Sus scrofa: one gene and its partner. The protein of the gene in region 1 interacts with the protein of each later gene in a biochemical or structural test. Links are inferred from orthologs where the notes say so. Each region holds a gene or a part of one and is shown in the gene's direction. Other genes may lie near its edges.

Region 1 (3,522 bases):
GGTATAAATTAGCGGAGCCCTTTCCAGATAGCAGATGGGAAGTTTGGTTCAAATATGCATCTGAAATCTTAAAAATATTCATACTATGTAAGCCTCAGGAATTTCAGTTTTAAGAATCTGTTCTAAGGAAAAAAACAAGACACGCACACGTACATACAGACTCAGACAGACAGATGCTTGAGGATGCTCATTCCAGGAGTTCCCTGGTAGCACAGTGGGTTAAGTATCTGGCATTGTCACCGTTGTGGCTTGGGTCACAGCTGTGGTGTGGATTCTATCCCTGGCTCAGGAACTTCCGTATGCCACAGGCACAGCCAAAAAAGAAAAGGAAAAAAAGAAAAAAAAAAAAGCTCATTCCAGTAAAATTCATATCGTGAACAACTTGAACAGAATAAACATCTGCAAAAGGTGAACCAAAGTCTGGTAGCCCCGAGCAACAGACAGTGAAGAAGAGCAGGTTCTATCCCCGGCCTTGCTCAGTGGGTTAAGGATCCGGCGTTGCTGTGAGCTGTGGTGTAGGTTGCAGATGTGGCTCAGATCTGGCATTGCTGTGGCTCTGGTGTAGGCCGGCAGCTGTAGGTCCGATTTGACCCCTAGCCTGGGAACCTCCATATGCTGCGGGTGGGGCCCTAAAAAAGAAGAAAGAGGAGCACAGACATCACTCCTTCCCAGACCAGGTAGGACAGGGCTTCTGCCTGCAGGGAGTGTCCCAGGAGGAGAAACCTGTGCAGACAGCACGATAACGTCGTTCTGCTGTCGTGGGGAACCAGACCCCCACCAATATCCACAGAAAACTCAAAGTCTGGGCCCAAGTCCCAAAGGTGGCTTTCTTGGGGTGTTGGATCATGGGCAATTGCATCTCCTCTAGATTACTTGGTAGTCTTCAAAGTTTCTACAAAGAGCAGCCAACCAGAAAGCCTCCATAAGCATTACTTCCGAAGACATAAAGGAACTCCCAAGACAGAACTTGCCCCCTAGGAAACGGCAGGCCAGGTCCAGTCCGGCTCATGTTGGCTGTCTGCCTCCATAGGACCAGAAGATCTACATCTACAGCCTCAAGGGCATGTGCCCGTTGAACATGCCCCAGCAGGCTTTGGACACCCCAGCCATCGTCACCTGCTTCCTGGCAGTGCCTGTTATAAAAAAGGTGAGGTCACGGGGAGGTGAGGTCATGGGGAAGTGGGGGCACTGCATCTGAGTTTCCCTTCCCTTGGGTTGGTGAGGAGGGCAGCAAGGCCATGCCCACCTGGAGCAGCAAGCCTGGGTCACTGTCAGTCTCACAGAGACAGGACACCTGGACCATCAGTGCCTTTGGGGTTTCTGAGAGCCTAAGGACCAGTAAAACAAAGGGCTAGGTGGAAAGCCTACCTTCAGCACACGAAACCACAGCCCCAGTTCATGGTGAGATGCTTTTCTGGTGCAGATGGTGTCAGGGGACAGTTGCTTGTGTGCCCTTCCCCTTCTGAGAGCAGGGGCCTAGCTCAGCACTTCTCACAGCCACTGAGTCACCAGGCCCTGGCAGGCCCCTAGCTCCCCTCCCACTCTGGTTCTGCCTCCCCAGACCAGTCTCCATCAGTCCCAGACCTCCATCCCTCTTTGTCCAATATGGCCCTGAAGATGCATATCCTCAGCTTTCAGACCCAGCCTGCAGAGCCGGCCAGGTCTCCCCCCTCCACAACCCCCTCTCACTCCTCTCCTCCCAGCACCGCACTCTGAGCAGGCCTTTCCCTTTAGGACTGACCTAGTGGCTCATACCTCTTCCTATTCAGGTCTGAAGAACAAGGGCCGTGACCCGGACTCTGAGAAGCTGCCCCACGCTCCGCCCCAACCCCCCAGGCCTCTGGACCCCCTCTGTGGGCCCTGAGGTGCCGTTTTTACAGCAGGCACACTCTCCACTCGAGAGCTCCTTGTTGGTGTGGCTTTGTTAAAACACGTTGGCTGTCATCATCCAATGCCAGTTTTCCCACCTGCAAAATGGGCGTAAAAGATTGTGAGGAGGATCTCTGGGCATAACGTACCCAAAGCTCTGGGTGTCATCATCCAATGCCAGTTTTCCCACCTGCAAAATGGGCGTAAAAGATTGTGAGGAGGATCTCTGGGCATAACGTACCCAAAGCTCTGGGCTGGTGCACTGGTTGAACATGAGCATTATTACTCTTTCCTTACGGTCATGAAATACACGTGCTCTCCTCTCCACCCCTCTACAGTTTCATTTCTTTAAAAAAAAGTTTGAAATCAACCTTGAGCCATTTATGACTGTGGCCCCATGGGCGAGGCTGGGCAGCTCAGGACCCCGTCTGCACCAGAGCGCAGGACATGACACAAAGCGTTATTTAAGCTCAGGGCTGCCCAGAGCCCCGAGCCAGGGCACCGCCACCCGCCCGCAAGACCAGAGGGAATAAAGCTGGCTCTGTGCGGAGCCTCCCTGCCAGGGTGCCTGCCCCTCAGAGGCTGTGCTGCCCCGTGGCTTCGGACAGCAGACCCCTGCATTCTTGCACGCGCACGTCCACACCCAGCCGGGACGTGGGGCTCACTGCCTGGCTGGGGCCCAGAGCAGGGACTCAGATAGAGGCCTTGCTCCTGTTTGCTTTGGCTGTTTTCTTTCCTCGAAACCTGAAGATGGATTTGGATAAACGTTCTTAGGCCTCATTGACCTTGCTGTTGAGCTAGAGGCTGGTTCACTCATCACCTGGGACAGCCCAGCTTCCCAGCTCCAACAAGGGGGCTTTCTGTCCTCACCCTCGCTGGCCCAGGGCCTGGGGCCCCGCTCGGTCCCAACTCTGGCTTTGTTCTCCTAAACTCTTCCCATCCCACCCCAGCCCCACCCAGGCGTCTGGGCTGCTCTCCATCCCCAGCTCCACACAGATGCTCCAGGGATGCCTGGGCTGGGCCCAGCATTCAGCACAGTCTTTGCAATGTTGGCCTCTGCGTGGGGACCTCTGGTGGCCGTAAAAGAGCACATGCTTCATGGGGTTGTGAGGGCATCCCGAGGACCCCCATCAGTGTCAGCTGAACCACAGGCATTTCAGAGATGTAAACGGGGAATGTGGCACAGTGGCCAAGACGCGCCTCCGCGGAAAAGCTGAGTTGGAAGCAATTTCTTTAAGAATGAATACTTGAGCAGAAAACTAGGGAGAGTCAGAGGTGGAGGGGGCCTTGCCCTTCCCTATAGCAGACCAGCATTGGGGCAGTGGTGGGTACCAGACCTTGGCCTGCTCTCATGGGGCACCCACCTTCTGGGGACAGCAAACAGGAGACTAAGAGCAGATCCATGGGGCACCCACAATTGCTGTCACCTTAAGGAACAGAGTTCACGGGAGGGAAGGACGCACATCCTGCCTCTGAAGGAGGCCCTGGTGACCGAAAAGGCAGTCCCCCACCCCCTGCCCCCTGCAACTGACATTACAAGAAGCCCAGGCTGACCAAAGTCTGGCCTTGTGGTCTAGGCCACATGCCCCCTCCCTCAGGGGCCAAGGGCCTTCTTCTCACTCTGGCTCAGGGCAGGGAGGATGGGTGTGGCTC
Region 2 (4,111 bases), on another chromosome or scaffold:
CGAGGAGCTGTGTGACCCTTGACCGAAGAGCACAGTTGACTGTCCCCTCTGACGACCCTTTTTCTACAGTCCATGTATTTGTAAATGGTACAAGATGAAGGACAGTGGCTTTCTGTCCCGGGCGCTGAGCTCTGGGTCCTTCCCAATGCCCCGGGGCCGGGCACCCGTGTGCAGCCTCACCCAGCCCCCGAGCCGTGGCGGCCGATGCCCGGGAACTGAGGGACACGCTGGAGAAGAGGAGTTCCTGGGCGGTGAGGTGCTGCCTTCACGGGGACGCGCGGGGCCCCTGGAAGGAGAGGAGGTGGGGTCTGAGTCTCAGGCCGGGAAGGAGACTGCCCCTGCCCTCCCCCTGCACAGCTTGGCGAGGCTCGGCCAGGTTTGGGTCTGGGCATGGGCGGTGTGGTGCCTGAGAGCCCTTCCCAGCGGCAGCTTTGCCCACGGCACCAGACCCTCTGGGCCGGGGCTCTGCTCGGCGAGCGGCACGCCATCACCTGCTCTGGAAGGCGCTGGTGGCTTCTCTGCTCCCTCTGCCGTAGATGGCACTGAGAATTTGCTTTGATTTGTTCCCGTCTGGGGCTCCTGTGGCGGGATGTCCCTGGGGACGAGGGCCCCATGTGAGGTGACCTCGCCTTCTCTTAAAGACAAACTTGCGGGCAACAGAAAGGCAGACAGCGTGCTTGGCCCTGGTGCCTCTGGATGAGAGCTGCCCCAGTGGGACCTTAGCCTGGCGGCGGCGGGTCTGCACTCCCCGTGCCAGCGCTTTCCTAGCAGGTGGGAAGGATGGTGCTGGGCAGCCGACCACACAGCCTGAGGCTCTGATGAGTGGGGTGCTCGGAATGGGCGCCTCCTTCTCTCTCCAGTTGAGCCTATGAACAGAGGCCACACTGCAGGCGCCCTGCCTCCCGTCCTGCCCGCCGTGTGCTCGTGGGTGCACAGATGCCACACACGCACATGACCGTCTCCCTCTCCTCACCCCTCTCCTCTCACTGGCCAACACCCCCCGCCTCTCACCATTGGTTTTGGGGCCAGTAACTGAAGGGCGGGGTGCAGACTGGCCTGTCTTGGACTTAACACGTGCTACCATTTGATGTACTCTGATTGGCTAGTTTTTGTTCGTTTTTACTGTATATTTATAGTAATAAAATCATGCAGCAATATCCTATTCGCTTTTCCCTCCATGCACAGCTCCACAGGACTGGGTTGTTTCTCGGGAGGCAGGACAGCTGAGTGGCAGCTCTGACACACTCAGAGCAGCGCAAGTGCCTGCTTGTGGCTGCAGCCACTGTTCCCTCATGTGTGATGTGACATAGGACTTCCGGGAGGGCGTGAGTGCTGCTGCTTGTTATTCTTGGGGTCGGCATTATGCTGATTGTCGGGTTGGAGCAAAGGGGAGGGACCCTTGGGACTTGGCTCTGTTTCCTGAGCAGGTGGAAGAGCCCAGGCCTCCAGCTATGCAATTGCTTTGGCCGTAGCCGTCGCTAGTTCCTCTTGCCGCCGTGAACTGAGTGCCTGCTGTGCCAGCAGAAAGCAGAAGGCGCCAGGCCCCTGGGAGCCTGCGTTCTAGTCAGTGAGATGCTACGCAAGTGATTCAGGTCTAACCACATGTGATTACAGTTAGGAAGGGGGTCGGTGGCTAACGAGGTGGTGCTGATTTAGCCTGTGTTTGGGGAGGGCTTCTGTGATACGTTTCAGCTGAGCCCTAAAGGATGCCAAGGAGCTGGGCCTGGAAGAGCACCCCAGGCAGCTGGCTCAGCAAGTGCAAAGGCAGGAGTGGGTCTACTGTGTCCACGGAGTGGCTGAAGTGTCAGAGCTGGGGTGTGGGGTGCAGACACTTTGTGGGGGCCCAGTTTTGCCCTAGGAGCAATTGGAGGCTGCTAAGCAAGGGAGCGACTTTCTCCAGCTGTCCTCGGGGGAAATGGATTGGAGGGCAGGTTTGGCTGCCAGGACGCTGGAGCCCAGCTGGGGCCCTCTGCTCAGCCTGAGCTCCCCTGACCAGCAAGCAGCCTCTGCATGGGGAGAGGCTGGTGCCCCAGCACGCCCACTGCAGCACTGCCCGAACCACGGCCAGCCAGCAGTGCCCTCTGACTCAGGCACTCAAGGGTGGAGCCAGCCTTCCTAGCTGGCCTGGCCCTGCCCCAGGGAAGGCCTGCCAACCTCGGGGGTCCCCGGTCTGCCACGGTCTCGGTGTGGAAAAGGCCTTTCAGTCACACAGGTTTTTGCATTGGCTGCACTGGGTCTCCCACCACGGGCCCACCTCCTTTATTAATGCCTGAGGCGAGCCTTCAAACACCTTTATTTATTAATGCCTGGGTCCTTCCCTTCAAACACCTTTAGTCTCCCTAGAGTCTGGCCTCCCACTGCCAGCTGCGGCTGCCTCCCTGCTGCGGCAGCCCCAACCCTGGCAGAGGACCACGCGGGGGGAAAATGGAGCTTGGGCTACCTGATGGAGTGAGTAGCACCACAGAACCCGGGGGAGCCTGCTGCTCTGCCGCAGCTGCTGTTTCTGATGCTCCGGAGCCGTAGTGCCTGCCTTCTCCGGTACAGACGCTGGTAAGTGACTCAGGCCCTCGTCCCCAGAAGCTGCACGGTTTTCTGCGCGGACACTGGGTAGGAGAGGTGGAATTCGAGGGTAGGATCCTGGCTCTCACAAACTGCTGGGTGCCCTCAGGCAAGTCCCGTTCATCTGAGCCCCAGGTTCCTAAAGGGGGGAGTACCTGGCCTATATGGCCCCTGACACGGGTATTTGGGCGCTGCGCTGGGAAGCTCCCTGCCCGGAATCTAAATCACTTCTGCCCCAGCAGGCTGGATTCAGGAAGTCCCCGAGTTCCTCACCGCCCACCCCCAGTTCAGGGCTGGGCTGGACTCGGGGGGTAGCTGGACTCTGCCAGGCTGTGTTTAACCGGCAGCAGAACCATGGGCTGGCATTGTGCCTCCTGGCCGCAAGGCTCGGCTGAGCCCCCTGGGGCAGGCAGGGGGCGCCCGCACGCCCAGGGACAGGCGCCAACCCGGCCTGGAGCTGACGGTGGGAAGCCGGCGCGGCTGTGCTCCCGAAGAGGCGCGGGGGAAGGCGGAGGGCAGTATAATTGCTAGGGCTTTCCCTGCCCTCTTCTAGACGCGCAGTTTGAGTCCAGACTCCACAGGCTGCACCGCCTGCAGGTAGCGCCCCAACCCCGCAGGCGCCGCGCGTCTGGGAACCCGAATCCGAATCTGCGCTCGGCTCGTGCGGGCTCGGTTGTCGCGTTGCATCTTGGGCCTTGTGGTTTTCTAGGATCGTGGGCGGTGCCGGTTCGGGGTGCGCGGCTGTTGGGTGACAGCTGGGCGCGAACCGCCTTCCCCTTTGCGCACGCCCCTCCCGCTTCGCAACGACGCCTCTGAGCGTCGCGATGGGCTCGGCCCCGGCGCGGGTCAGCGATTGGCGGAGGAGCGGGGCCCAGGGGCGCGGCTTCCCGCGGATTGGTTGGGTGCGGCGGGGCGGGCCCGCGCATGCACTTAAGGGGCGGTGTCTGGGCGGCGGTGGGTAGTGCCAAGATGTCGACCGTGGCAGTCCCGGAGCTGAAGCAGATCAGCCGGGTGGAGGCGATGCGTCTTGGGCCGGGCTGGAGCCATTCGTGCCACGCCATGCTGTACGCTGCAAACCCCGGGCAGCTCTTCGGCCGCATCCCTATGCGCTTCTCGGTGCTGGTGAGGACGCGGGCAGGCGGGCGGGGACCGGGCGCCACTCGGACTCGCGCCCGTGACCCTGACGCTCCCTTGCAGATGCAGATGCGTTTCGACGGGCTGCTGGGCTTTCCCGGGGGCTTCGTGGACCGGCGCTTCTGGTCATTGGAGGACGGACTGAACCGGGTGCTGGGCCTGGGCCTGGGCTGCCTGCGCCTCACGGAGGCAGACTACTTAAGCTCACACCTGACCGAGGGCCCGCACCGCGTCGTGGCGCACCTGTACGCGCGGCAGCTGACGCTGGAGCAGCTGCACGCCGTGGAGATCAGCGCGGTGCACTCGCGCGACCACGGCCTGGAGGTGGGGCCGCCGCCCGGGCCCCGCCCCCCGCCCCGGGGTTTGGCTCTGGCCCCGCGGAAGGCACCGATGGGTAACACGTCCCCCTGAGGGTCCC

The links. The genes of interacting proteins can lie anywhere in the genome.
Region 2: the proteins of LRRK1 (region 1) and NUDT16L1 form a complex in vitro, tested with the Homo sapiens proteins (2 studies listed by BioGRID and IntAct, with this or other methods). The link is inferred for Sus scrofa from reciprocal best matches to the Homo sapiens genes LRRK1 and NUDT16L1.

What each region holds. Positions count from the first base shown.
Region 1 is NC_010443.5:139,616,119-139,619,640, forward strand, and holds part of LRRK1 (leucine-rich repeat serine/threonine-protein kinase 1), read left to right. Parts: intron 1-1,030; coding exon 1,031-1,147; intron 1,148-1,769; coding exon of another isoform or gene 1,770-1,775; exon of another isoform or gene 1,776-2,062; intron 2,063-3,522.
Region 2 is NC_010445.4:37,691,849-37,695,959, reverse strand, and holds the start of NUDT16L1 (protein syndesmos), read left to right. Parts: upstream 1-1,306; 5' UTR 1,307-3,483; coding exon 3,484-3,681; intron 3,682-3,756; coding exon 3,757-4,017; exon of another isoform or gene 4,018-4,087; intron 4,088-4,111. UniProt on the Homo sapiens protein: Key regulator of TP53BP1 required to stabilize TP53BP1 and regulate its recruitment to chromatin.